Linked DNA regions of Notamacropus eugenii. Each later gene encodes a partner of the first gene's protein in a complex. Links are inferred from orthologs where the notes say so. Each region holds a gene or a part of one and is shown on either strand. Other genes may lie near its edges.

Region 1 (7,633 bases):
ATCTGCCAAGGTCGACCTTCCACCTGTGCTCCTGAGTCCAGTTCCTATTCCTCAGGACTATTGTCTGGTCCACTGCTCTCTCTCATATTTGACCTCCCCCTCTGCACTGACTTCCTCCCCTCATTTTACAGAGGAGAAAACTTAGACTTACAAAGGTTAAACAACTTTCCCAAGGGCCTCACAATGTTTCCAGTTTACCTTTCCAGAATTTTCGACACTATCCACTTCCAGAATTCAGCTTGCCATCCCCTGCATTTATGCTCATTGCCCCCCCCCCCCTTCCTCCAACCTGGAACACACTCCTTGATAACCACCAGTTCTAGGAATCCTTAGCTTCCTTTCAAAGTTCAACTCAGATGTCACCTCCTACTTAATAAAAGTCTTTCTTGATCTCCCCAGTTGTTGGTGCTCTGTCTCCCTCAAATTACCTCATATTTACTTACCTGTTTACATGATGGATCCCCTATTATAAGAAAGGGCCTCAAGGGCAAGGGCTGTTGGCTTGTTTTTATCTCAGTATCCCTAATATAGTGCTTTGCACATATCATCTGAGTTTTTGTAGACTTAACCAATCTTTATATAGGTTTACAAAGTACTTTACATATGTTCACTGATTTGAGTTTCACAATAACCCTGTGAAAAAGCATATCCTCCCCATTTCATAATCCAGGTCTCTTCTGACTTCAGGTCCAATGCTCTTTCCAAAGCACCAAGCTACTTCTCAAGTCCCACAGTGACTCAAACAGTGTTAAGTACACAGTGGATACTCAGTTAAGTACTTGCTGAACTGATTACCCATAAGACTTGTTACATGGAATAGTCTACAGAAAATTACTTTACCTTCAATTGGTACCACAGATGGTTCCTTGATAGAGGGGGAAATGGCTCGTTTTTCTGCCACAGCCGCCTCAGCCAGGCGCCCCAAGGCACTGAGTGGAGGAGTAGAGGAAAGCTTGGGACGTTTTGTGAGGCCAGTCAGGGCTGAGGCTCCAGATAACGCAGATGCAGCATCTCGCTTCCGTTCAGAAGGTAAACCTGAGGGAGCTGGCTTCAGCAATGCTACTGTTGCTTTTGACTCATTGGCTTGGCCTTTTGAGCCCAATGCAATGAAATCCCCTGGTGGAGGGTGCCCTACAGAAGAGAAAAAAAGAGAGAAATCACAGAATCCCAAAACTGAAGGGTCCCCGTAGAGATCATCTAATCCAGAGGTGGGGAACCTCCGGCCTTAAAGTCACTTGTGGCCCTCTAGGTCAAGTGGGGCCCTTTGATTAAATACAAACTTCACAGAATAAATCCCCTTAATAAAAGGATTTGTTCTGTAAAACTTGGACTCAGTCAAAAGGTCAAACCCCAAGGACCTAGAAGGCCACAGTTTCCTGCCCCTGAATCTAATCTTATACTAAGGCCAAGAGGTGAAGTAATTTACCCATTAGGTCATACAGGTAATGAGCTGGAAGTAGAATCCATGTCTCCTAACCCACTGTCCAGCGTTCCTTCCACTATATCATGCCTCTCTTATAAATTAACCCGCATTCCTGTAAAAGCTATACCATTTCTCCTTAAACTGCAATCTGAGATCAAGGCTTCACAGCACAAAAGACATGAGGGCATCTATGGGGTTGGGCGACTTCTTTTGGAGGCTCATTTTCTAAGAATTGTCTTTGGCTTTTAAATGAATTCTAGTTTACTACAAGCACTACGTTAATCAGAATTAAAAAACCAGAAATTTATCTCAGCAAATATTCTCACTCTTTTCTTTGTGTACAATAACAGAAACTGTATGTAGGGCTTTAAAGTTTGCAAAGCACTTTCCATCACTTCCCTTCTGCCTCGAGATACGTCTTACATAAATATATACTATTATGTATACTGGGGTATTACCGTCTCCACTTTACAGAGGAGGAAACCGAGGGGAAGAAGGGTTAGATGAACTGCCCATGGAGGAAGGACCACTGAAATCACTGGCAGAGACTCCAACCTAAGTCTTTTCTGACTCGGAGGTCCCAGCTCCGCGCCCAGTAACACAGGGCACCGGCGAAGGTTCTCATGCAGCTCTCCTCTTTACAAGTTTAAAACTGCGCTAAGACTGGGAAATCCTCTGTGCAGACACAGAATGGCCTGAAGAGTCCTACAACTGAGGCCCAAGGGGGTAAAGTGACAGAACCGGACTCGAACCCAGGTCCGCTGGGTCCGGATTTCAGTCTCCTCAACTCACAGAATTTCAGATCTAAAGCTGAAGGGAACGCCCCAACCCCTTATTTTACAAATGAGGAGACCGAGGCACAGAGCCCTCCGGGCCTTGTCACCCCGGAGTTCTCAACGCCGACACCCCCGTTTCACGGATGGGGGCACTGCGGGGGGGTGACCCGGGGCGCAGCGGCCGGCGCTCACCAGAAGGCTTGGCCACGGCGCTGGGCCTGCGGACCGTGGTCGGCTTGGCTCGGTTCATCTTGCCCAGCTTGGCGTTCCCGGGGGCCGCGGGGTCGCCTGCGGAGAGAGGGGCGGGAGTCAGGCGGGCCGGAGCGCGGAGGCGGCCACGGTGGGGGGAGGGGGCCCGACGCCCCTACGGTGGCTCAGAGGGCCAGAGGGGAAGGGGGCGGGGAGGGAGGAGCGGTGGTCAGAGGGGGGGCCTTGAGGTCAGGGGAGCCTCCCCCGAAGAGGATTATGGGAAGGGGGGGGTGCACGTCGTCTCAGGAAGAGGGAGCCGGGCGGGGCCCGGGGAGGGTGACGTCTCCGGCCGGAGAAAGGAGCCCGAGGTCCGAGCCCGGGCGGCGGGGTGTCCCGGCGAATGCACCCAGCTCACCCACCTACAGCCCACAACACGGACCCTCAGTCTTGCCGCCACCACCGCCACCGCCGCCACCGCCGCGCCGGATCCGGAAACTCATCTGCCTCCTCTCGCTCTCTCCGTCTCTCTCTTTCTTTCTCTCTCTCTCTCCCTCTCTCTCTTCTCTCCTCTCTTTCTCCCCCCACCTCGAGTTCCGCGCCGTCCCGGAACCAAAATAGCTCGGAGGAGCATGGGATTGGGGCGGAGCCTAGCGCGGGGCCTGCCGTGACGACAGCGCCTCCCCGAAGTCACGCGGCCGGGAGGCGGAACTGCAGCCTCGCTCTGGTCCGCCCCGCCCCTTCCCCAGGAGGGGTCCGTGCCCAACCGCGCATGCTCCGGACCGGGGAGAGCCGGGGAGTCCCTTCTCCTGCCCCGAAGCGGCGGTGGCAGCCTTGCTCTGTCCCCTCCCTTCAAGCGCTCCAGCAGTCTAGGAGCCTTCCTCATTCTCCCTGGGACTTCTCCAGCCGTGGGAGGGATAAGGATCAGGGGGGAACGTGGGCATCCGTGGATTTTCTCTTGCCAGCCTTTAGCCAGAACGTCCCCCCTCTGCCCCCCGCCGAGGGACGTGCAGGGAGGGATTGAGGGGATCCCCCGTCCTCCGTCAGGAGTCAGGAAGGCCTGGGTTCGGATCCTGCCTCGGACACGCGGATCCAGCTTCTCCATGCGCGCATCTGCCTTGTGAGGAGGGGCGTCCTCACCAGTCATCACTCACCCCCCCCACAAAGCGGGCCTGCGGTGCCGGAAAGGTCCGGGTGAAGGGGAATCGCGCTGGTTCCGAAGGAGAAGAGGTGATCCACCGAGAACGTCCCCCATTCATGCTGCGGCGTCTCATTCTGTCCTCGTGTAAATTCATGTTGAATAAGTGAATATACAAATGTACATTTACCTGTTATAAATACGTAATAAAAATTCCTTTCTAATCTCAGTGGATTCTGCTACCTAAACCCGCCGCTCAGCTTTACCTTCAGGGCCTCCCTTTGCCTCTAGAATGAATAGCCTGTCATGCAGGGCCTTCCACAATCTGTCCTTCCTTAACGCAAGTCTCCTTCATGGCCTCTGTGTCACAGACAAGCGACTCGGCCAACCATTCTGCCAGCCTTGAAATCCTCCTTGTGATGTCCGTGTCAGAGGCCTCCTCTCCCAGGCCTTTGCTTATCCCCCTGTGCCTAGGAATGGGCTGTCCTTCTTTAGATCTTTCCCATGCAATAATTATATTCTCAGTCTTAGGGTTTTCATCATGTAGGGTTAGGCTTATGAATACGTTGGATATGGGGGGTTGCCCTGAGACTGAAAAACACCTAGGTTTTGACCTTGGTGACTGAGAGGATGGTGGTACCTGTGACAGTAATAGGGAAGTTTAGAATGTTTTGGGGAAAAGATAATGAGTTCATTTTGGGGTGTATCTGGTGTACCATGTCTGCAGGACATCTAGTTCAACTTATCCTATGATTGGTTGAGATGTGAGTCAGAGGAGAGGTTAGGAATGGATAAGTAGGTTTAAAAATCAACAGAGAGAGAGTAATTGAACCGTGGGAGCTGATGAGATTCACCATATAGAGAGGAGAAGAGGGCCCAGACAGAGCTCTATGGGACACCTGTGGTTAGAAGCATGACCTCCATGAAGACAGAGCAAAGAAGACTCAGAAGGAGTGGTCAGATGTTCATTCATTCAATTAAACATTAAGTACCTGCTGTATTCCAGGCACTGTGCTAAAGCACTAACAGTCCAACCCTCAAGGAGCTGATAGTCTAATAGGGGAGACCACATAAACAAAAACAAGCTATACAGGACAAATAGGAAGTAATTAAAAGAGGATGAGCACTGGGATTCAGAGGGGTTGGGCAAGGCTTCCTGTAGAAGAGTTTTTCATTGGGACTTAAAGGAAGTCAGGAAGGTCCATAATCAGAGTAGAGGAGGGAGGATGTTCCAGGCATGGGGAATAGCCAGAGAAAATGCCCAGAGCTGAGAGATGTGAAACAGTCGGCAGGCCGGTATAACTAGAATGCAAAATACCTGGTGGGGAGTAAGAAGTAAGAAGACTGGAAAGGTAAAAGGGGATATGGAGATATACACACGTATATGCGTTTATACGTATATATATATGTGTGTGTGTGTGTGTGTATGTATATATATGTATGTGTATATGTATGTATATTGTTGGGGTGTAGGGTGGTTCAGGGAGGACCAGTGCCTTTGGTGTGATGGCTTCCACCTTTTGTGTCCACCTGTTCCATCTAACTCTCACCTGTGGATCCAAGAAGCTGCAACATGTGCAGCGGCCACAACCTGGTAAACCATTTTGGCCTACCAGTCAAACCAGATTGAGGGTAACCAAGGGTTCTCAAACCCATTAGTGAGTTAGGGGGGTGTCTACCCCAAACATGTGAAGACTTCCTCCGGTGGAATGGGCGTATGAGAACAATTTGTTCGAACAGCCATGAAGGCAGATGAAGCAGGCAATGTGGAGTGCTTAGAGCATGGTTAGACACCAAAGATGCCAACGTCATCCACTGAAGCCTGAGCCATCACCAGCCATCTCGACTCTGTCCTGCCACTGGACTATGATGACGCTGGAGGACAGAGTGAGGCTGACGACTTTGTGCAACTCTGCTCACTTAAATCCCATTTATGCACAAATCAAAAGACATCACCCATACCATTTTACTATTATGCCTCAAAGTCCTGTAGCAACAAGCAAGTGATGAAGCAGTAGGTGCAGCTACACTGGGAGCTGTAGTCACAACCCTGCACACAGGCAGCTCAGGCCTTAGGGTTGTTTCTCATTGAAAGCAGCAGTGGGACTCAGCAGCCCTCTGGGTGTCTGAGCAGCCTTTTAAGGATCGCACTGCTCACCTCCTGGTGTGAGGAAGGGGGCCAGAAAAGATGCCCTAAACATTGTCTGCGTACTCAATCCTGGCCTGATTACCATGGCAGGCAGGGAATCCCAATATGTGGTTGAAACACAAAAAAATGTACAAAATGTATGAAAACATCTGCAAAGATGATTCCACTTACCATTGGCATACTAACAGACAACACAAAATCCAGTAGACCTGAAAGATGAACTGCTCTTGTTGTAAGAGAACTCAACAGATGTAGCATCCAAATAGCAGCCTTAAGTGAAACAAGGTTGGCAAATGAAGATCAACTTACTGAAGCTGGCATGGATACACCTTTTTCTGGAGTGGGAGTAGTGAAGGGGAGTGCCATGAAGCTGGCATGGGTTTTGCAATCAAAACTAAGCTAGTAAGAAAGCTGGTATGCCTGCCAAAAGGAGTGAATAACAGACTCATGACAATGCAATTGCCATTCACAGGAAAATGCCATGCCACCATCATCAGTGCCTCTGCTCCCACCATGACAAACCTTGATGAAATCAAAGAAAAATTTTATGGAGACCTGGAAACCCTTTATCGTCAGTGTGCCAAAAGAGGACAAGTTTATAATTCCAGACAACTTTAATGCTAGAGTAGGCTCAGACTACCAGACTTGGCAGGGAGTCCTAGGGAGGAATGGAGTTGGAAACAGCAACAGCAATGGTCATTTACTGCTGAAGACTTGTACACTGCATGACCTTCTCATCACCAACACTGTTTTCTGTTTACCTAAATGCAATAAAACTTCATGGATGCACCATCACAGCAAACGTTGGCATCTAATAGACTATGTGATTGTAAGGAGACAAGACAGACAAGATGTGAGAGTGACAAAGGCAATGTGCGGTGCAGAGTGCTGGAGTGATCATAGACATATTCTTTCCAAGCTAAATATTCTCATTCCTCAAAAGTGCCACCCCCAAGGCAAAATGACCACCAGAAGAGTTAATCTCAACAAATTAGAGCTCTTCTCTGGGTGCAAATAGTTTGTTGCTGACTTGGAGGGATAGTTGAGCCAGCACACAGTTGGCAATAGTGGAGCAGAAAAGGAGTGGGAAGCTTTTAGAGATTTGGTGTACAGCACTGCATTTGCTCATCTAAGTCAGAACACTTGCAAACACCAAGACTGTTTTGATGAAAATGATGGGGAAATTAAGAAGCTGCTAAATGAAAAATGAGAACTCCACAGGATTTACCAGCAGGATAGTTCATCCACCTCTAAAAAGGCAGCATTTAATTCCATCAAAAGCAAAGTACAAGCAAAGCTTAGAAAGATGCAGGATTCCTGGCTCAGTAAGAAGGCAGATGAAATTCAGTTTTATACTGATAGTAACAATCCAAAGTGCTTTTATGATTCCCTGAAAGCTATTTATGGACCAAAAACCTATGGTGCATCACAACTACTCAGTGCTGATGGAGCCACATTGATTAGTGGTAAGGACATGATCCTAGAGAGATGGGCTGAGCACTTCCTTAGTGTTCTCAGTAAACCATCATCAATCAATGCTGAGGTCATTGACCATTTACCTCAGGTTGAAGTCAATCCTTCCTTTCATATGGCAAAGCACCTGGTGCTGATTCTATTCCAGCTGAGATTTACAAGGTAGGGGGCCCATTGATCATACAAAAGCTGTTTGAAAGTTTCCAGATTATATGGCAAGAGGAGGTTATCCCCCAGGAGTTCAAGGATATCTCCATTGTCCATCTCTTTAAGGGTAAAGTGAATAGAGAGTCCTGTGACAATCACAGGGGGATCTCTGTCTTAGTCATTGCTGGCAAAGTTCTGGCTAGAGTTCTCCTTAATAGGCTGACCCTTCACCTAAAGGATGGTCATATACCTGAGAGCCAGTGTGGCTTCAGAAAGGACTGTAGAACAGTCAATATGGTGTTTGCTGCCCAGCAACTCCAGAAGAAATACCAGGAGCAGAA
Region 2 (7,920 bases), on another chromosome or scaffold:
GAGTCACACACGACCAAACAATAACGCTGATGACTCTCAAATCTCCCCATCTTGTCCTAACCTCTCTTCTGACTGCCTATTTCCCTTCTCCAACTGCCTTTCAGACAACTCAAACTGCATGTTCAGTAGACTTAAAATCAATTAAACTCACTATCATTCCCTCTACACCCTCTCTGTGCTACCTGTCCAAGGCAACCCCACTCTCCCTGGCCCTCAGGGTCACAAAGTAGGTGTTATCCTCAACTCCTCATGCTCTCTCACTGCCCAAATCCAATCTGTTGCTAAGGCCTATCAATTTCAATTTTGCAACATCCCTGGAATATACCTTCTTCTCTCCTCTGACACTGTAACCAACATTGTGCAGGCCCTCATCACTTCATGCTTGGACTTTTGCAATAGCCAACTGAGCCTACCTGCCTCAAGTCTCTCCCAACTCCATTACATCCTCCATTCCACTGCTACTTTCAGACTGACCAACAAACACTATTATTTACACTATTGTTATTATACTTGTTGTGGGCAGTAGTCTTATTTCCTAAATAAACTCCCTAAGGGCATCATCTAACAAACTTTTTTTGATTATATATTAGGTTAGGGGTATCAAGAAATATATTATGTCTTACACTTACACATAAAGATATGGAGATATAGGTTTGTTAAAGCCAAACAGATTTGGCTTTAACAAATACCCTTTCTTAGCGTAGAATCAATGGCAAATGAACAGTATAGGTGTACTAAAAACATTTTCATTGGAGAAACTGGGAAACACAGGAGATGAAACTTAAAATTGATTTTGAAAGGAAAGTCAGGACCTAAGACAGGAGTGGGGAACCTGCGACTTCCAGGTCACATGTGGTCTTCTGGGTCCCTGGATGCAGCTTTTTGACTGAGTCCAACTTTTACAGAACAAATCCTTTTATTATGGGGATCTGTTCTGTGAAGTTTGCATTCAGGCAAAGGGCAGCCCTTGGAGACCTAGAGGGTCACATGTGGCCTCAAGGCCACAGATTGCCCACCTCTGATCTAATACTTGGCTCTTTTTTGGATCCATGATGACTCTCCATAAATGTAAAACACATCCCTCTCACTCCTCCCCTAGCCTTATTATGGATAATATATTTTCCAGTAAGTACATGGAGGATGTACCCAATCTTCTAACTTATTTTGTAACAATCTTCTAATCTTTCTGCAAAGGCAGAGAGGCAGGAATGTGGACAACATGAAAAGAACAGGTTGGGCTGATTACACAGATTCCTTAGAGAAGTTCTCTATATAAAGTTAGATGTGTGTGTACTTCCCCTGCCTTCCTTGCAAAGGTAAAGAACTATTGATGTGGAATACTACCTATAAAATCAGACTTTTTTCAAATGCTGACTAATTTTGCCACTTTTCATAATAGTTATAAAGGATAGCTCTCCAGAAAGGAGGAAATACCGGGAAATATAGATAAGCTAAAAACAAATGATATCAACAATCTATGTTTTAACCATTTTAAATAGGTGTGTGTAAAGGGAGTGGTTGAACAGGGCTTTGAATAATAGCTAAAGAATAGCATAGGCAATGGAAGTCTTTTTAAGATTTCTGAACAGAGGGGACAGAAGAATGACATAAGCAAGGCAATGTTTAGGGAGATTAATTTGCTAAAGATGAGTGGTAGACTAGAGACAGAGCAGGTAGATTACTATTTCAGTAGTTCTGATATGAGATAAAGTGGGCTTCGACATGAATGGTGGCAATCTGAATGGAAAGAAAGAAGCAGATATGAGATATATTAGGAAGGAATAATCAATAGGATTTGAAATCTGATTAGATGAATGAAAAACATGTACTTTATTCCAAGGGGTCAACAATCACCTCATGAGACTTATGTGAAAACCAGTTTTATTTTACAAGAGAAACGAACAAGCATGTGGAACCCAAAGAGTTCACAGTCCTTACAGAAGTTTGCATATTTATGACAGTACAACAAAAGGAGGAGGAAAAAACATATATTTCCACCTAAAAGGTATGACATGGGAGGGGAAAGGTGCAGTAAAGCTCCTCCTGAAGGGGAGGAACAAGGTGATGGCAAAAGCCAAATTCTTTTACCTTGGAAACCACTAAACCATAAGTTCCCAAACTTATTTAGCCTATTGCCCCCTTTTCCAAAAAGAAAAATTATTCAGTGCCCCTCTGAAGTTAGGTAACCCTTTACTTTTATTCAAGGCCCCTCAAATGCAGGTGAGGCTATGATTCCCCCCCAATCTTTTGATAGGAGGAGTCCTGCTTATCTGCAAAGGACCCCAGCTGCACAAATATTTTCCCAGATTGGCACAGATTGTCTGGTGCCTGTCTTGTCTCCCAAGGACACACAGTAATCCAGGTCCGGGTGCAAACAACAAATTATGTCAGCTGCGGGGCAGCTTTGTCCCAAACACATGCAGGGCTGGCCTCCTGCATGCTCTGGGTCTAGTGTTTCTGGAAAATATGGCAACTCAAAAAGACAAGTTCAGGGGACCCCATAACAAAGCACTGTGCTGTCCTGGGGATACAGAATCAAAAGCAGAGAGACTGCTCTCAAAGAAGTTTGTATTCCAAAAGATTAGGAATAGTGAAAGAGGAGACTATGTGGGAAAGGGAAGAAATTCCAGATTGGACACTAAGTTTGGGGGAAAGGTGAGAGTTTAATTTTAAAATGTAAGTGATAACTGAATATTTTGTAGATGAATAGAGATCCAAGAACCCATGTCTTAAACCAGAATTCTCTGATACACAAATCCCTTATACATAAAAATGGTCAATTCATACTATTGCGCCAGGGACAGACTTTCTTTGGAAGAATTCTCTAAGGCATATTATTCCTTTCTTACTACTTGCCAAGCTGCTCTATTTCACTATGGTGGAAGAGAGGTGAAAAGCACTCAAATAATGCTATCACAATCCTTTCCTTCTCGTTTCCCACAGAAACAATGCCATATAATGGTTATTAGGTTCTCTAATCAGAATATAATACCGTCTGGTACTATTTCATCTTCATTGTGGATTAAACAGGTAAGAAATCTAACCACAATTTACAATATTGTTTCCGTGGGGAAATGTGTGAACTCGACCAATTTACAAAGAACTTTTGAAACACAAATAATTTTCAAGTGACCTGTACTTCTTTGTACATCCATCAAAACAGGCACCTGCAGTACTTAGTGCCATAAAATTAACATTTGCTTGATTAGCAAGTATTCCATATTCTTGATTAATGTGCTTTAAAAAACTGTTTTGCTGTTTCTAAGTTGTGCATTTGGTTCATCTGTAAGAATGTCTGCCCCAAACAAAGTCAATCTGAATACTAGAGAGGTTTTAATTCTAAATAGATCTCTCAGTACAACAGACATTTATTAAGAGCCTAATATAAGATGTTTCAAAAATGCAGTTTTTTAAGCACTAAGAGGTTTGGGACACTTTGTACTTGCAAGGAATTGTACTGGAAATACAAAGGTGAAAAAAAATGAAAGGGGTCTCAGCCCCTAAGATATTTGTAATATAATGGTAGGAGGGGTACACCACGGATACGCACAAGTATAATAAGGGAATCAGGGAATTCGAAGGGGGAGAGCTGAACAGGAAGAGATAAGATAAGAATTGGTTTCTAGGCCTAGGAGTCAGAGTTAAATGGAGGAGAGATGGGGGAGGAATCTTGCAGGAAGATAAGGACCGAGGCGTCCTTGAGCTCGCAACCCTCCCGGACAATCCACAACAATTTAACCATTTATTTGGTACCAGACACGGGGCTCAGTCCGGGGGATACAAAGAAGAGGCAAACACTCGGTGCCTGCCCCAAGTCCCCAGGTTTGGATTCACTCAGCTCCTCCTCGGAGCCGCTCTGGGGGTGTAAAGCACTCCCAGGGTAACGGGGAACCATCAGCACGCAGGGCACGCACCGAGCTCGCCCCAGAGCAAGGGCCTCCAGGAAGGCGGAATCGAGATTTTGGTGGGATCTGGGCCCCTCGAGATGCGCGTGTTCTAAGGGTCCACATGTAAAAAACCTGTTCAAACAGGATACGTCGTAGGTAAACGGGAGGTGAGGAGGGAGGATGGGAGGGGGCGGGGGGGAGGACTAGGGCAGGCCCCTGCGGGTGGGATCTGAGCCGAGTCTGGGAAACTAGATCGGGAAAGGAGAAACATGAACCTAAGTTAGCGCTAATCTAGCGCTTTCAGAGTCGCCCAAGGCTCGGACTTTTTAAGGGGGATCTCAAGGGATCACCCCTTCCCTCATCCCGCAGAGACAGCCCTGGACCCGCGGTTTCGGAAGCGCACTCCAAGCCGCCAGCCGTCCTCGAGTTCCCATCCAGCCTCGGCGGGCGGGGGGAGGGGTCACCGCAAGCTCTCTCCATCCCCTGGGGCGCCCCGGCCGCAACGAAAGCCCGGGGCTCCGATCAGGGGGGCTGAGCGCCCGGGTAGCGGAGGGGAGGGGGAGAGCGAGGCAGCCCGAGACCTGGGGACGCCGACCTGCCAGCGACCGTTAGAACCGTTACTTACCATTCCCAATCGCGCCCAGGCGGGGCTGGCGGAGGAGCGAATGGAACAGCATCTGAGGCGGCGGGAAAAGGCCGGGGAGCAGAGGAAACCCGCAGGCGGTGCAAAACCTACAGCCCCCACGCCCTCTCCCCCGTCCCCAGCCCATTTATACCGGCTAACTCCCGCCACCACCGGCTCCAGCCAACAAACTCCGCGCCAAACTGACGAAACGCCACCTGATTGGCTCCTGCCGTTCCATCGCTGAGACGCAAGCCACGCCTCCTTCGAGATCCCCGCCTCCTTCTCACCCGCCCTCCCTCCTCCCACTGAGGAAGCCCCAGGGCGAGTGGCTATTGGCTCCGTTTGCGCCTGCGCCGGGTGAAGACGAAAGGCTGAACGGCGGAGCACTTAGGCCGCATGCGCGGTATTAGCTGGCAGAAAGCCGAGGTAGGGGGGAAGAAAACACGCGAGAACAAATTGGAGGGAGATGGTTGCGTTGCTGCGGAGTTTCTAATCCTGAATAGGCTTGTCTAATTACTGTTAGAGCGCCATGGCGTCGAATTCGAGCAAATCTTTCTTGGCAGACGCCGGCTATGGCGAACAGGAACTGGATGCGAACTCAGCCCTCATGGAACTGGATAAAGGTATCACGGTAGCTAACCGTCCGCGTCAAAATGGGAGGGGGGGAAGGACGGGGAGAAATGGCGCCACCAGCTGGTCGAGGCCTGAAGACGAGCTAGGGGCGCATGCGCGGTAACCTTGGCAGTGGGGGTAGTCCTTTTTCTCGGAAGCTGGCACGGTTTGTTCCACGCTTTCCGTGGGTCGCGGGAGGTGTGGGAGGTGAACTTTGAAATGCCCGCAGCCTCAAGCTGGAGGGCTTGGAGGGGGAAGGGGAAAGCGTTCGGGGCCGGGGGCGTGGAGCCCTGGATTCACGCGCCAGCCACGCACCTGCTGTCAAACCTTTAGCTTCCCCAAAGTCGAACTGGTTTATAAAAATCTTGGGCCTGTTAAAAGTACGTGCCTTCTGAGCCCGGCATTTGATTGTTGGGTCGTCTCCGACTCCCAGGGACCACATCAGGCCTTTCTGGGCCAAGCGGCTAACGACCCACAGGTTAAAGGATTCCCCCGGGGTCACGGCTGGGGTCGCATTTGAACTCGGGTCTCCCTGACTCCTGGCCCACCGCCTCTGCATTGCGCCCCCTAGCTTGGATTGATGGACCTTCTGGACTTGGGTTTGTCGCATTTGCAGCGAATACCGCGGAGGAAGGGCTTTTGTCACTGTTTTTGACTCACCTATGAGAGCAAAGTAGAACAAATGGTTTTTATTTTTAAACGTTGAAAGCGCCTTAGCTGTTTCTATTACCCAGCGCAAGAAGTTGGTCAGATTTGCAAGAATACAGGTCGTTCCCCAGTTGACAAGTTTGTCCAGGGATGTGAACAAGCAGTTTTCAGATGAAGATATCAAAGCTAACTGTACTCGTATGAAAAAATGCTCCAAATCACTACTGATTGGAGAAATACCAATTAAAACAACTCTGAGGTGTCACCTCACACCTATCAGATTGGCTGATATGGCAAAAATGGAAAATGTTAAATGTGGAGAGCATATGGAAGAATTAGAACACTAATGCATTGTTGGTGGAATTGTAAACTGATCCAGCCAGTCTTGTGAGTAATTTAGGACTGTGCCTAAAGGACTGGAAAACCGGGCATACGCTTTGAACCAGCACAATTACGTCTATATTTCTAAAAACTCCTGTGGCTCTCAAGGGTAAAGAAAAAAATTTTGTTTTTGGCACTTAAAGCCCTCCAGAATCTGACTCCAGCTTCCTTCTTCAGACCAGGCACTGAAAGGCTGAGGAGAAAATAAGACCAGTTGTCTGGGTTTAAGGACCTTACAGTTTAATGGGAGAAGACAACTGTGTGTAAGCAAGGCATCTGCAAGATAAATTGGAAATAATGTCTAAGGAAAGGCACTAAAGGAAGGTTTCCTGCAGAAGATGAGAGAAGCAGAGGAAAGAAAGAGAACCATGGAAAATGTGCTGGTGAAGGAGTGTCCCTTGTGAGGAATAAATAGCAGGTGCCACTGGATTGCAGAGTTAGGAGGGAGGGATTAAGGTATAAGAACTTGGAAAAGGTTTTTATACTTGATCCTGGAGGGAGCCATTGGTGTTGATTGAATAGGTGAGGATGTGGGCCAAGAAGACAGCTTTGATAGAAGAGTGAAGGATGGATTGGAGGAGAGACTTGAGGTAGGGAGACCAAGCAAAAAGATATTGCAATAGTCCAGGTGATGAGGGCCCAGCACCAAAGTAGTTTTCATGTTAGAGAAGAGAAGGGGCCTACTCTAGAAATGTTGTAAGGTGGGAAAAGATAAGCAATAAATTGAATATGGGGGCTAGGCTGAGAGAGAGTGAGGGCTGGATAAGTGGATTTGAAGATAGTTGGTGTAGACATAGGAACTGAATCCATAGGAACTGAAGAGATCACTATGTAAAGCAGTATGGGGGAGATATGTTCTGTCTAGGACAAAACCTTAGGGGAACCCCCCACAGTTAGTGGATATGTATGGCTTGGATGGAAATCCAGCAAAGGATACTGAAAAGGAACAGATTGGTAAGGGAACCATGTGGTCTTTAAAAAGGTTCAAGAGACATAATTTTCTGGATAATTTGATAATTTTATTAATAATATCTTAATTTTAATTAAATTTGGCTGTCTCTCTTTTAGACCAGAGATAATCATGGGGCAGGCTCACTGCTTCTCTGCCCATTGGAAGAGGGGTGAGATCAGGGTGGCAATCAAGTCTGATTGACTAAAAATGAGAGAACGAATAGTGCAATGAGGGGCTGGACCTGAACTTTGATTATGACTTTTACTTCTAGGTTAGTTCTATCCTTGGGCAATCTATTCAAAGATTTTATCCCTACTCAGACCTGAATAGGGCACTGTGGCTTTCCCACCTGGGTGGTTTCTGAATCCTAGCTCATTAGTAATCTTTCATGATTAGTCTGATCTTTTAAAATCAGGACTTTGGAAAAGGGGGAGAACTCTGGATCTCCTCAAATCATTGGTTATTGATAATCATTTCTCTCAACCAGGAGAGTTATGTCACTAGAACCAAGAGAAAAGTGAGTGTTAAGGAAAAAAGAGTGATCAATAGTATCCAAAGGCTACAGAGAGGTTGAGAAGGGTAAGGATTGAAAAAAGGCCATTGAATTTGACAATTGACAGATCATTAATAACTTTGGAGAGAGGAGTTTCAGTGGAATGATGAAGCTTTCTGGAAGCCATGCAGTAGAGATTTGAGAATGAGAGAAAAGGACGAGGTAGCACATTAGTCAGTAGTTAAGTAAACATTTATTAAAGGCCTGCCACATGCCAGGCACTGTGCTAAGCTTTGGAGACATTAAATGCAAAAGGAAATCC
Region 3 (6,831 bases), on another chromosome or scaffold:
TCATAAGGCTGCAATAATGATGAAGATTTATTTCAAGACATCTTAAAATAACAAGTAATATGCAGGGAAAATATGAGATTTGGAGAGGCTTGTATTCAAATCAGCTGTGCATCTATGTGACTGGCCATGGGTGAACTATTATAAGTTTTTCTTGAGCAAATTAGTATACATTCATTATACTATTACATCTAATTTAGGAAAAAGTAAGGATGAACAATGAACTATGTACAATACTAAAAACTGAAGATTCACCAAAAAAGAATGGAAAAATACTGGATGGAGAATCAGGAGATGTGAGTTCTAGTCCTAACTCTGTCATAACTCACTCTGTTAGTTGACCTTGGGCAAGTTACTAAACCTTGCTGAGTTTTAGTTTTCTCATCTGAAAAATGAGGGAACTGGATTAGAAGACTTCCAAAAATCATCCTGCAATTCTAATATTACACACAGATGCGCACATGCATGCATGTGTGCACACGCAGGCACACACATGCATACACACACACTCTTTAAAGTTGATCTCTAAAGGTGTCTTAACGTTAGTTTGCAGATAAAAGTTCAGTAAATCTATTGCATTAAATAAGCAACAGATTCAGTTAAAACAGTGCAGATTTTCACATTCACATATTACAGGAAACATTTTTAGATGAGATCACATGAAAATAAATGTGTCTTTCACAGTTACAGGACAAAATTTTAAGTTGGCCAGGCAACCAATGCCCTGATTTTCCACTTCTTTTCGCAGACCATATGACTTCCACATGCTGAGAGTGTTTTAGGCTGTAACCTGCAATGAAGATTTTACAATGTTCCAGCAATTCAATAACCAATGCTTAAAATGCAATAGTTAAAACTTCACTTGAATAAGCATGAATTACAAATCAACATTTCAACTCAAATATTGCACAGGGATAGGAAAGTTGGTGAGTTTTTTCCTAAAATATGTTGTTCTCATTTCAAAAGAAACATCAAAGAAGTAAATCAATAAATGTTAATTGAAAAACAGAGCAATGGGAAGTAGACAGGTTAAGAGATATTCCTTGATATTTATCTTTTCACTTTCATTTTTCTTTTGCTTTCTAAATAATTTAATTTCCACACATAAATTTCTATAGATACTTTCTATTGCACAGTTTTATAAGATCTTTTCCCTAAAGGGCTTTGTTTCATTTTCAAAATTATTCTAATGAACATTAATAAGATGTAAGCAAAAAATTTTAGAAAACTTAACATCTAACAACTGCAATGATGGTCTTGGAGGGGATCAAAATATTCAAGAATATAAAGTTCAGATTTAGAAAAAACATTAACTGTTTCTATATAGGTCAACCTAAATATACACTTGTTATCTCTCACATTTGCAGTTACCAGCCTGTTTATTAGTGTGAATGACCCATTCCAGAAAGTCTGAATTTCGTATCAAAGATCACAGTAGCTATGGGAATTCAGGTTTTCGTTGCTTCCAAGATCCCACGATGACAGCATAACAATGAGTATCAAGAACCAGTACATTTGGGATAAATGCATATGAACACCTTAATTTTCTTAACACCTGAAAAAATTATAGCAACTCCATTCAAGAGTCCCTCTCACAGGAAAACGAGCAAACGTTCCAGAAAAAAACTTCACTTGGGGAATGGAACGAAGTGTTCAACACTCGATTTCCATCACTTAATGCCACCTTAAAAACGGTCAGAAACGCTAATGTGATTGAAGCTACAATTTTTAAAAATGTTATTGTAGTATATATTATAATATATACTAGTAAAATGTATACTATGTTATAATAGTAATCAAACTTTTAAAAAGTAGCTAAAATAATTTTTCCAGAGTTTTGATGCATATACATAATTCAAATGGTTGAAATAACTAGGCTTTAAAAAATAGGAATTAAGAAATTTAATGCAGGAAACCGCAATGCTAAACTGATAATTACCTCTGACAGAGCTGGCAGAAAAAATGATGCAGATTATTCCCCTCTAATGATTCGGGGAATAGCAAAGCCAAACAATATACAACCATATCGGGGGGAAAAAGAACAAATAAAAAGGCACAGAAGGTATTCTCAACACCCAGGAAACGTCAGCAGCCCCATAAGCAGATGGAAGAAGAAAGGAAAGAAGATAAGCTAAAAAGACAGACCCAAGGGAGGGCAACGTTGTGGGCACCTGAAGGACCCCGGCAGAAACTGGCTAGTCACCTCCCTGGCCAGACACTTCTGGACTTTTAACCCCCGGTGTAAACCAACCATACAATCTGTTTCTAAGTCAACTTTATTGGACACAGAATCTCTCCTTGAAAAACCAAAAGCATTCTTCCCTGCTCTCCCACATCCCGATCTCCAGCCACAGCGGAGGAGGAACAGGGTGGGGTAGAGGGAACAGGGAGCAGCATCTGTAACTTGCCCCCAAGCATTACCTCCCGCTGGATGTCCTACTACCAGCCCGAGTCCGACACCACAGGACCGGCAGTCGGGAAGCCGGGATTCTGAACTGTTCACACTAAGCCCCCTCCCACCTTGACAACGACCCCTCCTCGCACATTCTTTAAAAAAACACAATATTTACAAACAATAACACCCAAACCACCCTCAAGTAATTAAAAGCCGTTTTCACCTCGAGAGGAGGCACCCCAACCTACGGTTCGGGGGGGACGGCGGACGCCTTTCGGAGGAGCCCCGACGGTGTCACCGGAACACGGTTCCGGAAGAGAAGACGCGGGGCACTTTTTCGTTTCCCACCTCGGCAGCGCCCTAGTCCCCGGTCGCCCCCCGAGCCCGCGGCCAGCCCCTCGGTGGGGCAGGCGCGGGGAGCGCGGCCGGAACCCGCTCGGCAGCCCAGGCCCCGCTCTGTCCCCCGGTCCCTGTGCGCGCCTCCACCTCGCCGGGCGCCGGCCTCCTCCGCCCCGGGGCACCCCTCGCGCCCCCCCACCCCCAAAGTTAAGGACGCTTGAGAAAACCAAACGCACGCGCGCGCACCGACACCCCTCGAATCACCGCCTCACATTTTCTCAAACTCCAGCAGAGACCCTCACCCCGCGAGCTCCCCCATCTTCCGCCCGCAGGCAAAGGCGGCAGAGTTAGAGGGGACGGGAGTGGAGGCAGCCGGTGCCTTTGAGTTACCCGCCCTCCCCGAAAAAATAACCCTGCCCCACCCCGGACTCCGGTCACCTACCCAGACGCCCCTTTCAGACACCTCGTCGCCGCTGCCACCCCCCCAAACCCCCACCCTCGAGACCTCCAGGAAAGTGCGGAGGGGGAGAGGCTCGGGGTATCCGGCTGGAGAAAATCGCTCCACTCACCTCAGGAGCCCGGCTGAGTTCTCTCTCCGCCTCGCGGGCAACCCCCTCCCCAACGTCCCAAGAAGAAGGGCTGAGGTAGGGGGGGAGGGGTGTCTTCCGCACGGGGTCCCCGGCGGGAGGGGGACTGGGGAAGGGGGTGGAGGCCGACGTGGGAGGAGGGGAAGGGGGAGGGGAGGCCCCTATCTCCCAGTCTCCCCCTGAAAATCTCCCTTGTCTCAATCACATCAGACTGACTGTCTTTGTCTGGCTGACAACCGCCATATTGATATCAACAGCCCCGCTCCCACCTGCTGCCGCCGGGCGGCCCTGGGAGTTGTAGTTCCCTGATCCCTGGGGTAAAAGCACCAGCCGCAGCACCAAGCGGCCCCTGGGAACTACAGCTCCCGGCAAAGCCCGCGCCCTTCCTCTTCCCCATAGGGAGGAGGGAAAGGCAGACTCAGCACCAACCGGGACTACAGGTCCCACAATACCGCGGGCATTGGGTCCGGTGAGGGGACATGATATCATCTTGGGGTGTGGAAAGGTTAAAAGAAGAGGCGATGGGGATAAATCGTAGCCGACAGAGGGAGGAGTTCTGAAAGGAAGGGGAGGAAAAGGAAGAAGAATGACCACAGTTCCCATCATGAAGCCGCGGACATACTACAGTTCCCGTGATGCTCTGGGAGCCAGAGGGAGCAGGCAGAGGGAGTAGGAGTGAGGAAAAAGACTCGCTATTCCGTCATGCTCTAGGACGTTTGGCGGCAGCGGTTTAGCCGGAAGTCTCTTTTAGGGATTGAAGGAGTCCAGCCGTACACATTTAACAGCGAACATTTCAATATGAAGCTGGTGAGTGTTCCCTCGCGGGTCAGAGGGCGAGGGTGATGCTAGAATTTGGAAACTCGACGGCCTCTTATGTGGAAAGGAAACGAGGGGAGGAGGGGGGAATTGGTGGTGCAGAAAAGCATGCTGGGAGGAGGGTAGTTGGTGTGGGAGAGGGTGGCGGTCTGCAGCCTTCGCGTGCCCGTGGGACTTAACTCTTAAGCCCATTTCACGGACCGCTGGGGTTTGGCCCCGGGCCTGTGCCAAGGCCTTCACCACGCCCCGTCTAACAAGCATGTACCTTTTTCATTGTGCTGCCTGTAATGCGTTGAAAAGAGCCCTGATTTGGGGATCATAGCAACCTGAGTTCAAACTCCCCCCACTCATCTTTCTAACTTTGGGACAAGTAATTTGCTGGACTTGGGTTTCTCTTTTATAAAACAAAAGAAATGAACTGGATTGGAAGTACTTACCTTCTTGTGGCATGGACCCTTTGGCACATAGGAGACCCGCCATAAATGCTTATTGACCCCACTTGACTTGGCACTCAGGTGAAGCCTCTTATTTTTTTTCAGAATAATTTTTAAATACATTAAAATCCACAGGATTAAAAAACAGTTATAAAGCTATGGTTATCTAGATATTTTAAAAATCAAATTCATGGAACCTAGGGTAAGAATTGTTGGACTAACTCGTGTCAGGGATCCCTCCTAGATCTTCCATGAGTGTCCTAGCCATCACATTGAGGAGGTACCTGTTACCAGTCAGTCCGTCTGTTGTTTAGGGATTGCTGTGTGTGCAGCACTGAGCTACGTTGTGGAAGGTTAAAAAAAAAGTCCCTGCATTCCAGGAGCTCATAATTTTGTTAAAGAGTCAGGATAAAGATACATAAAACAGGGCATTGGTGCCAGGCAAAGGAAAGATCCACACAACAGAGAAGAAAGAGGGTGGACGTTGAACTAATAGGAGTTAGGCCAAATGTAACAAGCAAGTGGGCTGTGCTTTCCTTACTAGAGGAACAGCATTAGCAATGACCTGACAATTAGAAAGAGCATCCAGCCCCTTCCAACAAGAATTTATTATTAATCATTCACCTTGTACAAGGTCAGAGGCAGAATGACAGTAGATAGAAAGCTAGTTTCGGATCCAGGAAGCCCTGGGTTCAAGTCGTGCCCAGACACATGCAGTAGGTTGTGCCACTCAGAGCAAGTTGCTTAACCCTAGGCAACTCTTGACCAGGCCTGGAGTCGGGAACGCTAGTTGTATGACCTGGGCAAGTCAATTAATCCTGTTTACCTCAGTTTCCTTATCTGTAAAGTGAGCCGGAGAAAGAAATGGCAAACCACTCGAGTATCTTTGTCAAGAAAACTCCAAAAAGGAGTCATGAAAAGTTGGACGTGACTGGAAACAACTAGTCAACAAAAAATGTACAAGTCACCATGTAAGGTGCCAGAGACACAAAAGACAAAATAAAAATGTCCTTGCCCTCAGAGAACTTACACTCTACTGAGAGTTGTAACTGGAACATAACTATTAGAGGAGGAAGAAAATACTGACAACTAATGGAATTAAGCATGGCTTTTAAAGGAATTAGGAGAACAAATCACTGGAATAGAAAGTCCTACATCAGAAGTGAATGTTTTAAAGTCAGAGCAATTTTTATATACACACATATATATTTTGTTGTTTGTTTGTTTCAGTTGGGTCTGACTCTTCGTTTACCTATTTGGGGTTTTCTTGTCAGAGATAACTGGGGTTTTTTCTTTCTGCAGCTCATTTTACAAATGAGGAACTAAGACAAAGAAACAGTGTTGAGTGACTTGCCCAGGGTCACAAAGCTAATATGTGTCCAAGGCCATAGAACTCAGAAAGATGAGTCTTCCTGACTCCTGGCCCAGCACTCTATCCACTGTGCCACCTAGCTCTGTGTGTTTGTTGGGAACATGGGGGAGTTGTACATACACACATAGGTATTTATACATTCACACAGTAGTAATAGTTGACAGTATTAAGGAGATTATTTCTTGCACTGGTGTACCTGGGATTGGTTTGGAATTTTATCCCATAAAGCATGTGCTGAGGTACCCAGGTTGATTCTTGCAGCCCAAATGAGGCTCATGGTTGAAGGATTTGGGCATCTTAGAATGAAGAAACAGTCCCTTTGTTGGTTCCTTGATCCCATGATGGCAGCAGAGAGTGTCTGAATAAAGCATACAGATCATTCATCCAGGAAAGTGGTCCACCCAGGAAAAGAACTTTAAAAAAGTGACTGCCCTCTGGCTCTCTCTTCCCATCTGCCAAATATGAGACTTCTTTGAATTGTTCCCTGGAGGAGTGAGAGAAAGGCAGCTCATCTTCTCCCCCGCCCCAGCAGCATCATGTCTTTGAATATAGGGCAGCTAAAATACATAAATTGACTTAAGCTAGGCCTCTTGCTATCTCTTGTATTTTGTATTCCTTCTGTGAGCATAGGTGACCAAGCATCAAGCCTGAGATGGATGTGTCCAGCCTTGGAGGCAACCTTTTGTGTTAGAGATTTGATGCTCTTAGGTCCCTCAGGTAGAGCTGATTGGCAATAGTAGGATGTTCTTTACCTACATCCTTCTTTGAGAGGACCACAGATGGAGGAAGAATCTCTAAGCGTTGATGATGCAGAACACCATGACTTAAAGAGATTTGATTAGACAATGGAGAGCCAAAGTTAAAGTATAATGCTAGTCCAACAACTCTTTA
Region 4 (7,946 bases), on another chromosome or scaffold:
GATGAAGAAACTACTGTTAGAAAAAAGGATGTGCCCCAGTGATCAACACAAATGTGGCAAGCAGGTTCTTGGGAAGTGGTATTTGGGACCCTAGCTTAGTGATGATGTCATATCCCATGACTTAAAATGGTTCCTTATGACACCAAGTTTTTCCTCAAAGAAACAAACATTTATTTGAATAAACACATTTTTATTTATAAAAAGAAAATCTTTACAGGTGCGGACATCTGTAGGGTGGAGAGGCCTTCTATATCTTTGTAGGGGTCTTTGGGGGTCCAAATTACTGAGAAAAATCCTGCCAGGGATCATCAAGGTGGGTAGAGAAACGTGCTGTTTTTGACACCTACCTACTCTATAAGCTTCATTCGACTGTTAGAAAGCACAAGACCCTGCATGGCAAATCAATTTTGCATGTTTAAAAATCAGTGTTAAATTATCTATATGTATTCTTTTCTTTTAAAAATTATAAACTCAACAATCTCAGCAAATGCAAACAAAAATTTAAAACTAAATGAAAGCCATGTAATCAAAACTATTTAATTTTTTTAAAGAACACATTTTAACAAACTGACAACAATAAGTCCGAGTCCTTTTCTATCTTTGAAGTTTTGTAGTGATTGTCATCTCCTCATGGTATGGTCACCCTGAGTTCTTGAGGATATGCTAGGAAGTACGAGTTCTGGAAAAGCTTTAATATGGGTCTGGAAATTGACTACATTTATTATTCAAGGATCAGCCTAGCTAAGTTCAGAAAGGTTCATCAATTAGGAGGTTGATCACAAAGTAATGAATTTTTTAGTCACAGCAAATCATGAAACTTTCTATTACGGCATAGAGGGTCTTGTGGTGACAGGTGTCAATGAAGAGTATACATTATACATTCACCAATGAAAGCATGGATCCTTGAAGAAAGTAGTCAAAATATGTGTTGCTGTTCTACATCTACTTTCTTCACAATGCTGTATTTTGAATATCTTTATATTCCTCATATTTTCCATTTTAATAGTACCATTATAAATAGTTCTAGGGAACTTTTTTGATAGGCAACCCGATAATTTTGCTTTTCAATGTGTTTTGGGATGCTAATAATTCTGAGGTTCCCTTTCCTTAATCAGTTCTCTCAATCTATAACATTATTCTGCAATGCTTACATATTTTTCACAAATGTGTTATTATTTTTATCTTCAACATTTTTATTTAAAGTTTTGAGTTCCAAATTCTTTCCCTCCCCTTCTCCCTCCCTTAGATGGTAAGCAATAAGATACAGGTTATACATGTGCAATTGTGTAAAACATTTCCATATTAGTCATTCTGTAAGACTTGAATAAAAGGGAAAAATAAAGTGAAAAATAGCATGCTTTAGTCTGTATTCAGTCAATATCAGTTCTTTCCCTGGATGCAGAAAGCATGTTTTATCATTAGTCCTTTGGAACTGTCTTAGATCATTGTACTGCTGAGAATAGCTAAGTCATTCACAGTTCTTCATTGAACAATATTGCTGTTGCTGTGTACAACGTTCTCCTGATTCTGTTCACTTCAACATGCATCAGTTAATGTAAGTATTTCCAGGTTTTTCTGAAATCACCCTGCTTGTCATTTCTTATAGTGCAATAATAGTCCTTTACAATCATACCACAGCTTGTTTAGCTATTCCCCAATTGAGGGGCACCCCCTAGGTTTCTATCTGCTATAAACTGCTATAAATATTCTTGCACAAACAGGTCCTTTTTCCTTTTGGGGGATCTCTTTGAGATACAGACCTAGCAGTGGTATTGCTGGATCAAAGGGTATGCACAGTTTTATAGCCCTTTGGGCATAGTTCCAAATTGCTCTCCAGAATGGATCAGTTCACAAGGTGAATTATTTTTTGAATTGGCTTTTCTCCTTCAATTGCATTATCTTGCTGCTCTTTGCTCCACTGCATTAATTCTGCTTTTAGCTATATCCAGTGAAATTTTCAAGTCCTCTAAGCTATTTTCTAGTTTTATCTGGCTTTGTTTGCTTGTTATGTTCTCCTGGGATTTCTTAGCTGCATTCATTTCTTCTTTTATTTCCTCTAGGACTCTTTTTTCTAAGTTTGATTCTTCTTTAATTCCTTGTATGTGCCTTTGATCTGTGTCAGCGCATCTCCAAAGATTCTTTGTGTTGTTTTAGATGTAACTTCTGACACTGTCTCAGGGTGCCTTCTTTCTGGCATTTCCCCCTTCTTTCAGTAATTTAAAAAAAAATTAATATTAGAATTTGTTGCCTTTTTGGTCAGTTCCAGGTTTCTTTCTGATATTTCTATTGCTCTTCATTAGGAGGATCATGAGGACCCTCGATCCTTGTTAACTCACACCAACAGCGTTCCTTTAAATATATTTTGAAAGTTTAGTTCTGATGTAAATTGAACTTTTTCTAACCCCAGTCTTTCACAAGTCAGTCTAAATGGAAGCAGTTTATATAGGATTCTATGAATTAGAACAGATTGTTAATAACAGTCCTAGGTAACAGTTAAAATGCAAGTTTCATTTTTCATACAATTACCTGCTAAAGTTCTGATTACAAAGTGGGAAGCTTAAGAGAATTAGCACAGCTGTTGGGAATTCTTATGAATAAGAGACAATCAGGGACTTTATTCCCCATGACATTCTCAAGGCTAGACACATTGGCCTACTGCCTAACTGCTCTCTTATTGCTTTTCCAGATGTCTTATGGGATAAGGATGGCAAGGATTCTCCTCCTTGAAATTCTTGGCTTCCATATGTCTTTGGCCTATTCTCTCATCCTTCTCTACCATTTTCTCTTGCTCCCTAATTGAATCACTAAAATTCAATCATTACACCCCTTTTCTTCTCTCAGTACATTTCTTCAGAAAGCACATGCATATATTCTCACAGCTTCAACCACTGCTTCTATGCAGATGACTCCCAAGACTTTTTCTTCCCTCCGCTCAAAGCTCCAAATCCCCTTTCAACTTAACATATCCTGAATTCACAACCTTCTCCCAACCTATTGACCCTCTTGGTTTTTCTCTTTTAATGGCATTTTAAAATCTCTCATTCACACCAACTCAAAACCTTAGAGTCAAGTCTGAATTCAAATCTGAAATTACTATCTTTTTTTATCTTAGTCAAGTCATGTAACCACTACATTCTGTTTCTTCATCTGTAAAATAAGGCAGTTGGACTGGACGGTCTCTGATGTACTTTCCAGCTCTAGATTCATGACCTTTTAAGTCTTGTTAATCTCTCTCTCTTCTTTAAATTCCTGCAACACTGAACTCCTGCTACTTTGAAATGCTAGCAAATTAATAAATCTAGAGCTGGAAGGGATTTCAGAAGTCATATAATCCCACTCCCTCATTTTACAGATGAAGAAATTAAGACTACTGAAATCAAGAGACTTGGCTAAGGTTATACTAGTAATAAGCATCAGAGGTGGCATTTGAACCCTAAACTAGTGTTTTTACTACCATGCCAAGCTGCACTACAGTCTCTTGCTATCACTCTAAGTTAGCGTCCTCTTCCTTCTCTCTTGTCATAGCATCTAACTAGATTCCTTTCTTTCTGTCTCTCTTCTGACCAGAAAAGACTGATCTCATCATGTGGGCACCCCACTGCCAGTGATGGGGCCAATTTGGGTTCTCAAAGAATAACATTCATTGATAGGTCACTCCTACAAACCCCTGCCAGAGCTTGTAGTTGTTCTGTTTGTCCTCTGTCCTCGTGGCATGGAGAAGATAATAGGTGATGCTGCCACTTGCAAGTAAAGTGACTGAAGTGAAGGAGGGCTGTGCAAAGTCAACAGCCTCTTTCTCTCCTTTGGAGTCATCTGAGTCTCTTTCCCCTCACACAGATCCTCCCCAACTCCCCTTCCAACTCACAGACCCCTCACCCCCATTTCCTTCACACATACTCCCACTCCCTCTTACCATAACCCCACATTCACTCCCTTTTTCTCTATGCCTTGACGCCTAACATATCCTTTCTTCTACCATGTCCCCTGGCTTAAAAGACGCCAAGGTCTCTCATTGCATCCTGAGCTGTTGCCAGTCATTCTGATGAATCTGGTCATTGGATCCATATGGCTCTAGAGGAGAAAATGAGGTTGGTGACCTTGTACAGCCCTCCCTTAGTCAAATGAAAGTCAACTGGAAGTCATGTCATCATCTTGATGTCACAGGTCCTCTTCAGAACGAAGGACAAACACAACAACAACCTCCCCGTACAAATCCCTATCCCCTCACCCTTCCTCCCTACTCTTCACATAGGTCTTTTTCTCTCCTGTCCCCCACTTTCCCATCAGATATCCCCCACGCTTTCTCTCCACCACACTCACTCTTTTTATCTCCCACCATCTACACTCGTATCCTCCTCTTCTCTCTTCTTTCTCCTTTCCTCCATTTCTTCCCTTCACATTCCCTCCTTCTTTCCTCCCAGCCCCCATCTTCACCCCATCCTCTGCCTACCCTCCCATCCCCCGCATCCCCTACTCCCTTTCATCCCTCACTCCCTCCCCCTTCTCTCCTCCTCCCGCCTCCCTACACGCCCCTTCCCACCCCCCCACTTTCTACCATCCCTCACTCCCCCCTCACACAAGCTTCCCCTCCCCCTCTCCCCCAGACATTCTTTCTTTTCATACATTCGCCCATAGCTCTCCCCGTCCTTCCCCTTCACAAAAACTCTGCCCTAGTTAGTGGGCATCCTCTCCTCAGTCACCCCGGGCCCAGCCCCCACCCAGCGCCTCCCTCACTCAACCACACTTCTCTCCTGCTCCAGGGACAAACCCGGCTCCGCGTTTTTCCGCTCGCTCCACCTTCAGTTCCGCCCCTCCACGAGCTCCACCCAATTACCACGCGCCGCGGCCGGCCGCCCTCGTTCACTGGCTACCTGCCCACCCAAGCCCCGCCCCCTCTCCCTGCTACCTCTCCACCTCTTCTCCTGTCTCTTTCCTCCTCTTGTTTTCATTCCCGAAGTCGCACGAGGCTCATCTGTTGCAGGGGGAGTGGGGGCGGGGGCGGGCGCGGGAGATCGAGCGCCTTGAGGGGGAAGGGAAGCTCACATTATCCACGCCACTCCTCCTTCCCCGCTGCATTGTGGGATACTGGAGTCCCAGTCCTAGCTCCGACCTCCACTTCCCTTCCCCTCCCGCGCTCAGCGGGACTCTCCACGGCTGCGGGGGGGGGGGGGTGGGGGGAGGCCCGGTCGAGGCTACGGCGGCCGGGAAGGGCCGGCCCGGAAGAGAAAGGCGGCGCTGGAGGTGCTGTTTGCCCCAGCCGCCGCCATGGCCGCGCATCTAAAGAAGCGGGTGTATGAAGAGTTCACCAAAGTCGTGCAGGTAAACGGCCCTCGGCCTGGCGGACTGCGGCAGCAGCTGGGGAGCAGGACCGTGGGTCCCGGGGCGCCACCTCCGAGGGCTCCTCTCGAGGCCCGGCCGGCTCCTAGTTCCGCATCGGTCTCGCCGATCCCTTGTTCTCCAGACCTCAGTTTCCTCCTCTGTACAATGGGCACAGTCATCTCGTAGCGTTCTTGCTAGGGCTGTAAGCAGTGAGGGTCAGCTGAGTTGGGGGGGACTTGAGAGGCCGCCCAGCCCAGCCCCCAGAGCTCTGTTGGGAAGTTCAAGCTCCTTCCAGCCTAACTTTACCTTTTGGCTTTTGTGCTGGGCCCAGCCTATTTGTGTGATCACCAAACGTGCTCCTCCCGAGATAGCTCAGTCCTAGGAGATAACGGGAACCCAGGTCCCATCCCTCCCTCTGTAGCGGAGGAATGTGGAAGTCACACAAACTACTCTTTGGGGCTCGGCCAGCTCATCTCTGCAATGGGCTGCACAGCCAGGTAGTTCTAGAAGCAGCTTGTAGCTCAGGCAGATACTAAGGGAAGTTTTGTGGTATTGGGTGGAAAAGAACAGTAGGCAGAATTGTGGATACAAAGTATCTAAAATGAATAAAAAGTTACATCTCCCAGGTTGTGGTCTAGAGGAAGCCACTGTAGAAAGTGGCTCTGGATGGCAGGTGTAGAAGTGTCCAAGTGAGGAACTCTAGAGCTTCCCAGGCCTAGGGGGACAAGCCGTGGAAAAATAGGGAGAGGAAGTGGAACAGGGTGTATCACATATAATCAGCCTTAAAGGTAGGGTACTGCCAAATTGTTAAGGCCTTTAAATGCCAAGTAGAGGTGTTTGTATTGTATCCAGGAAGGAATAAGGAGCCACCGAAGCTTCTTGAATGAAAGCATGAGGTTAAAAATGGGTGAGTGAGCTGGACGAGAATACAACAGAGGTAAAATCTGCCCATTCCGTTAAAGAGTTCATAGTCTATTCAGAGAGATGAAGTTTAAAAACTATGTACCAACAAGATATCCTAAAGACTGCTTTAGGAATATGAATTTGGCAGTTGTTTGGGATATGAATTTGGAGAACAGAGTTTGAATGTAGGAAGACCAGTTTAGAAGATTTACCTTTTTTTTTTTTTTGATTACAGATCATTTTGATCATACCTTGAGTAACTTAAAGAAGCTGTTCATTGAATAGGTGTATCTCACTCAAAGTGAGAGTGTGACCTTAGCCTGAAAGGGCCAGGGTTCCACATTACATCCTGGGCCATCTCCAGTCATCCTGATGAATATCTGGTCACTGGATTCAGATGGCTCTGGAGGAGAAAGTGAGGCTGGTGACCTTGCACAGCCCTCCCTCACTCAAATCAAAGTCAACTGCAAGTCATGTCATCATCTTGATGCCATGGTCTTCTTCGAGAACAAAGGACAAACACAACAACAGTAGTATAGACCAGAGCATATGAAGGTCTATGAACAAGTTGTGTGAGTAGAGAAAGCAGGACAAATGGTAGAGATGTGGAGGTAGAGGTTTGTCAGCTGAATGGATAATGTCAGGGTGAAAGAAAGGGAGAAGTTAAGAATGATTCCACTTACTTGTTGTGTTCTAAGTTTTAAGCAGTACCTAAGTGTATTTTTTTTTGTCGTGCCAACTCTGTGACCCATTTGAGATTTCCTTGGCAGAAATATTGGAATGGTTTGCCATTTCCTTCTCTAGCTCATTTTTACAGATGAAGAAACTGAGGCAAACAGAGTTAAGTGATTTACCCAGGGTCATACTACTAGTAAGTGTGTGAGGATGTGAACTTGGGTCTTCTTGGCTGCAGCTCTATATTCTTCACCTAGCTGCCAAATATGTCTATTAGAGAAATGTAAAACAAAGCGCCGTGTAACATCTGAGGTGGGGAGGTCAGTCTCATGGAATCAATCAGTTAACAAGCCTTTATTGGGTGATGCTTCCTGATGTGCCTGCACTGCTACTCACTGGAGAGAACACAGAATCCATAGAACTTCGCAACTCATCTGTAATTTAGTCTTAGAGAGTTGACTGGAGGGATTTTTATTTTCTTATTTTCCTTCACCAAGGTAATCTGCTTTAATCCATTGCAGCAACAACATGAAGAAATTGCAACCAAGAAGCTCCGGCTGACAAAACCAAGTAAGTCAGCAGCACTCCACATAGATCTTTGCAAAGCCACTTCCCCAGCAGATGCCTTGCAGTATCTCCTTCAATTTGCTCGAAAACCAGTGGAGGCCGAGAGTGTGGAGGGAGTTGTCAGAATTCTCTTGGAACATTATTACAAGGTAAGGAGACTACCCCTGAATTCCTCCTGAGATGCCTCTTTGTGGGGCATTCTGGGTTCTCAAAGTCTGGGTCAGAAGAGTGATAAACCTTGGGAAGAACCTGCCAAGTTAGACTGGCTTGAGACATTTGGCTAAATTGTACATTGGATGGAGGAGAGAACCAGAGGAAATGATGGTGTGAAAGTAAAGGTCTTACCAGATGCTGCATTTCACAGATATTGCAGGTTTTTGGTTTTTTTTACAAACTGAAGGTTTGTGGCAACCATGCAATTGAGCAGGTCTATCTGTGTCATTTTTCCAGCAGCACATGCTCACATCATGTCTCTGTGTCAC

What was found.
Region 2: the proteins of INTS1 (region 1) and INTS7 are in contact, whole or in part, in a cryo-EM structure (PDB 8RC4), measured with the Homo sapiens proteins. The link is inferred for Notamacropus eugenii from reciprocal best matches to the Homo sapiens genes INTS1 and INTS7. Residues at the interface, in NP_001073922.2 of Homo sapiens: Leu1378, Gln1381, Gln1382, Gly1385, Gln1386, Ala1389, His1429, Phe1430, Leu1431, Cys1433, Pro1434, Arg1437, Gln1438, Cys1440, Gln1441, Pro1476, Ala1479, Gln1480, Met1483, Leu1484, Gln1487, Arg1552, Pro1554, His1555, Leu1556, Glu1557, Glu1558, Pro1613, Ser1614, Gly1616; in NP_056249.1 of Homo sapiens: His150, Asp151, Leu187, Ala188, Thr189, Pro190, Val191, Lys194, Thr223, Ser224, Tyr225, Pro226, Ser227, Thr228, Asn262, Asp263, Pro264, Arg265, Lys266, Pro303, Tyr304, Gln349, Glu350, Cys352, Tyr353, His354, Asn355, Arg357, Ala360, Gln384.
Region 3: INTS1 (region 1) and INTS9 share a complex: the UniProt entries of both Homo sapiens proteins name them as parts of the integrator complex. The link is inferred for Notamacropus eugenii from reciprocal best matches to the Homo sapiens genes INTS1 and INTS9.
Region 4: INTS1 (region 1) and INTS4 share a complex: the UniProt entries of both Homo sapiens proteins name them as parts of the integrator complex. The link is inferred for Notamacropus eugenii from reciprocal best matches to the Homo sapiens genes INTS1 and INTS4.

Annotation. Positions count from the first base shown.
Region 1 is NC_092874.1:388,117,279-388,124,911, reverse strand, and holds the start of INTS1 (integrator complex subunit 1), read right to left. Parts: upstream 3,014-7,633; 5' UTR 2,889-3,013; coding exon 2,828-2,888; exon of another isoform or gene 2,808-2,827; intron 2,488-2,807; coding exon 2,392-2,487; intron 1,132-2,391; coding exon 841-1,131; intron 1-840. UniProt on the Homo sapiens protein: Component of the integrator complex, a multiprotein complex that terminates RNA polymerase II (Pol II) transcription in the promoter-proximal region of genes.
Region 2 is NC_092873.1:426,295,555-426,303,474, forward strand, and holds the start of INTS7 (integrator complex subunit 7), read left to right. Parts: upstream 1-4,912; 5' UTR 4,913-5,041; coding exon 5,042-5,135; exon of another isoform or gene 5,136-5,143; intron 5,144-7,920. Other genes in the region: DTL (denticleless protein homolog), read right to left, coding at 4,513-4,657. UniProt on the Homo sapiens protein: Component of the integrator complex, a multiprotein complex that terminates RNA polymerase II (Pol II) transcription in the promoter-proximal region of genes.
Region 3 is NC_092872.1:608,467,105-608,473,935, reverse strand, and holds the start of INTS9 (integrator complex subunit 9), read left to right. Parts: upstream 1-3,823; 5' UTR 3,824-4,116; coding exon 4,117-4,125; intron 4,126-6,831. UniProt on the Homo sapiens protein: Component of the integrator complex, a multiprotein complex that terminates RNA polymerase II (Pol II) transcription in the promoter-proximal region of genes.
Region 4 is NC_092876.1:125,486,405-125,494,350, forward strand, and holds the start of INTS4 (integrator complex subunit 4), read left to right. Parts: upstream 1-4,939; 5' UTR 4,940-5,265; coding exon 5,266-5,319; intron 5,320-7,418; coding exon 7,419-7,613; intron 7,614-7,946. UniProt on the Homo sapiens protein: Component of the integrator complex, a multiprotein complex that terminates RNA polymerase II (Pol II) transcription in the promoter-proximal region of genes.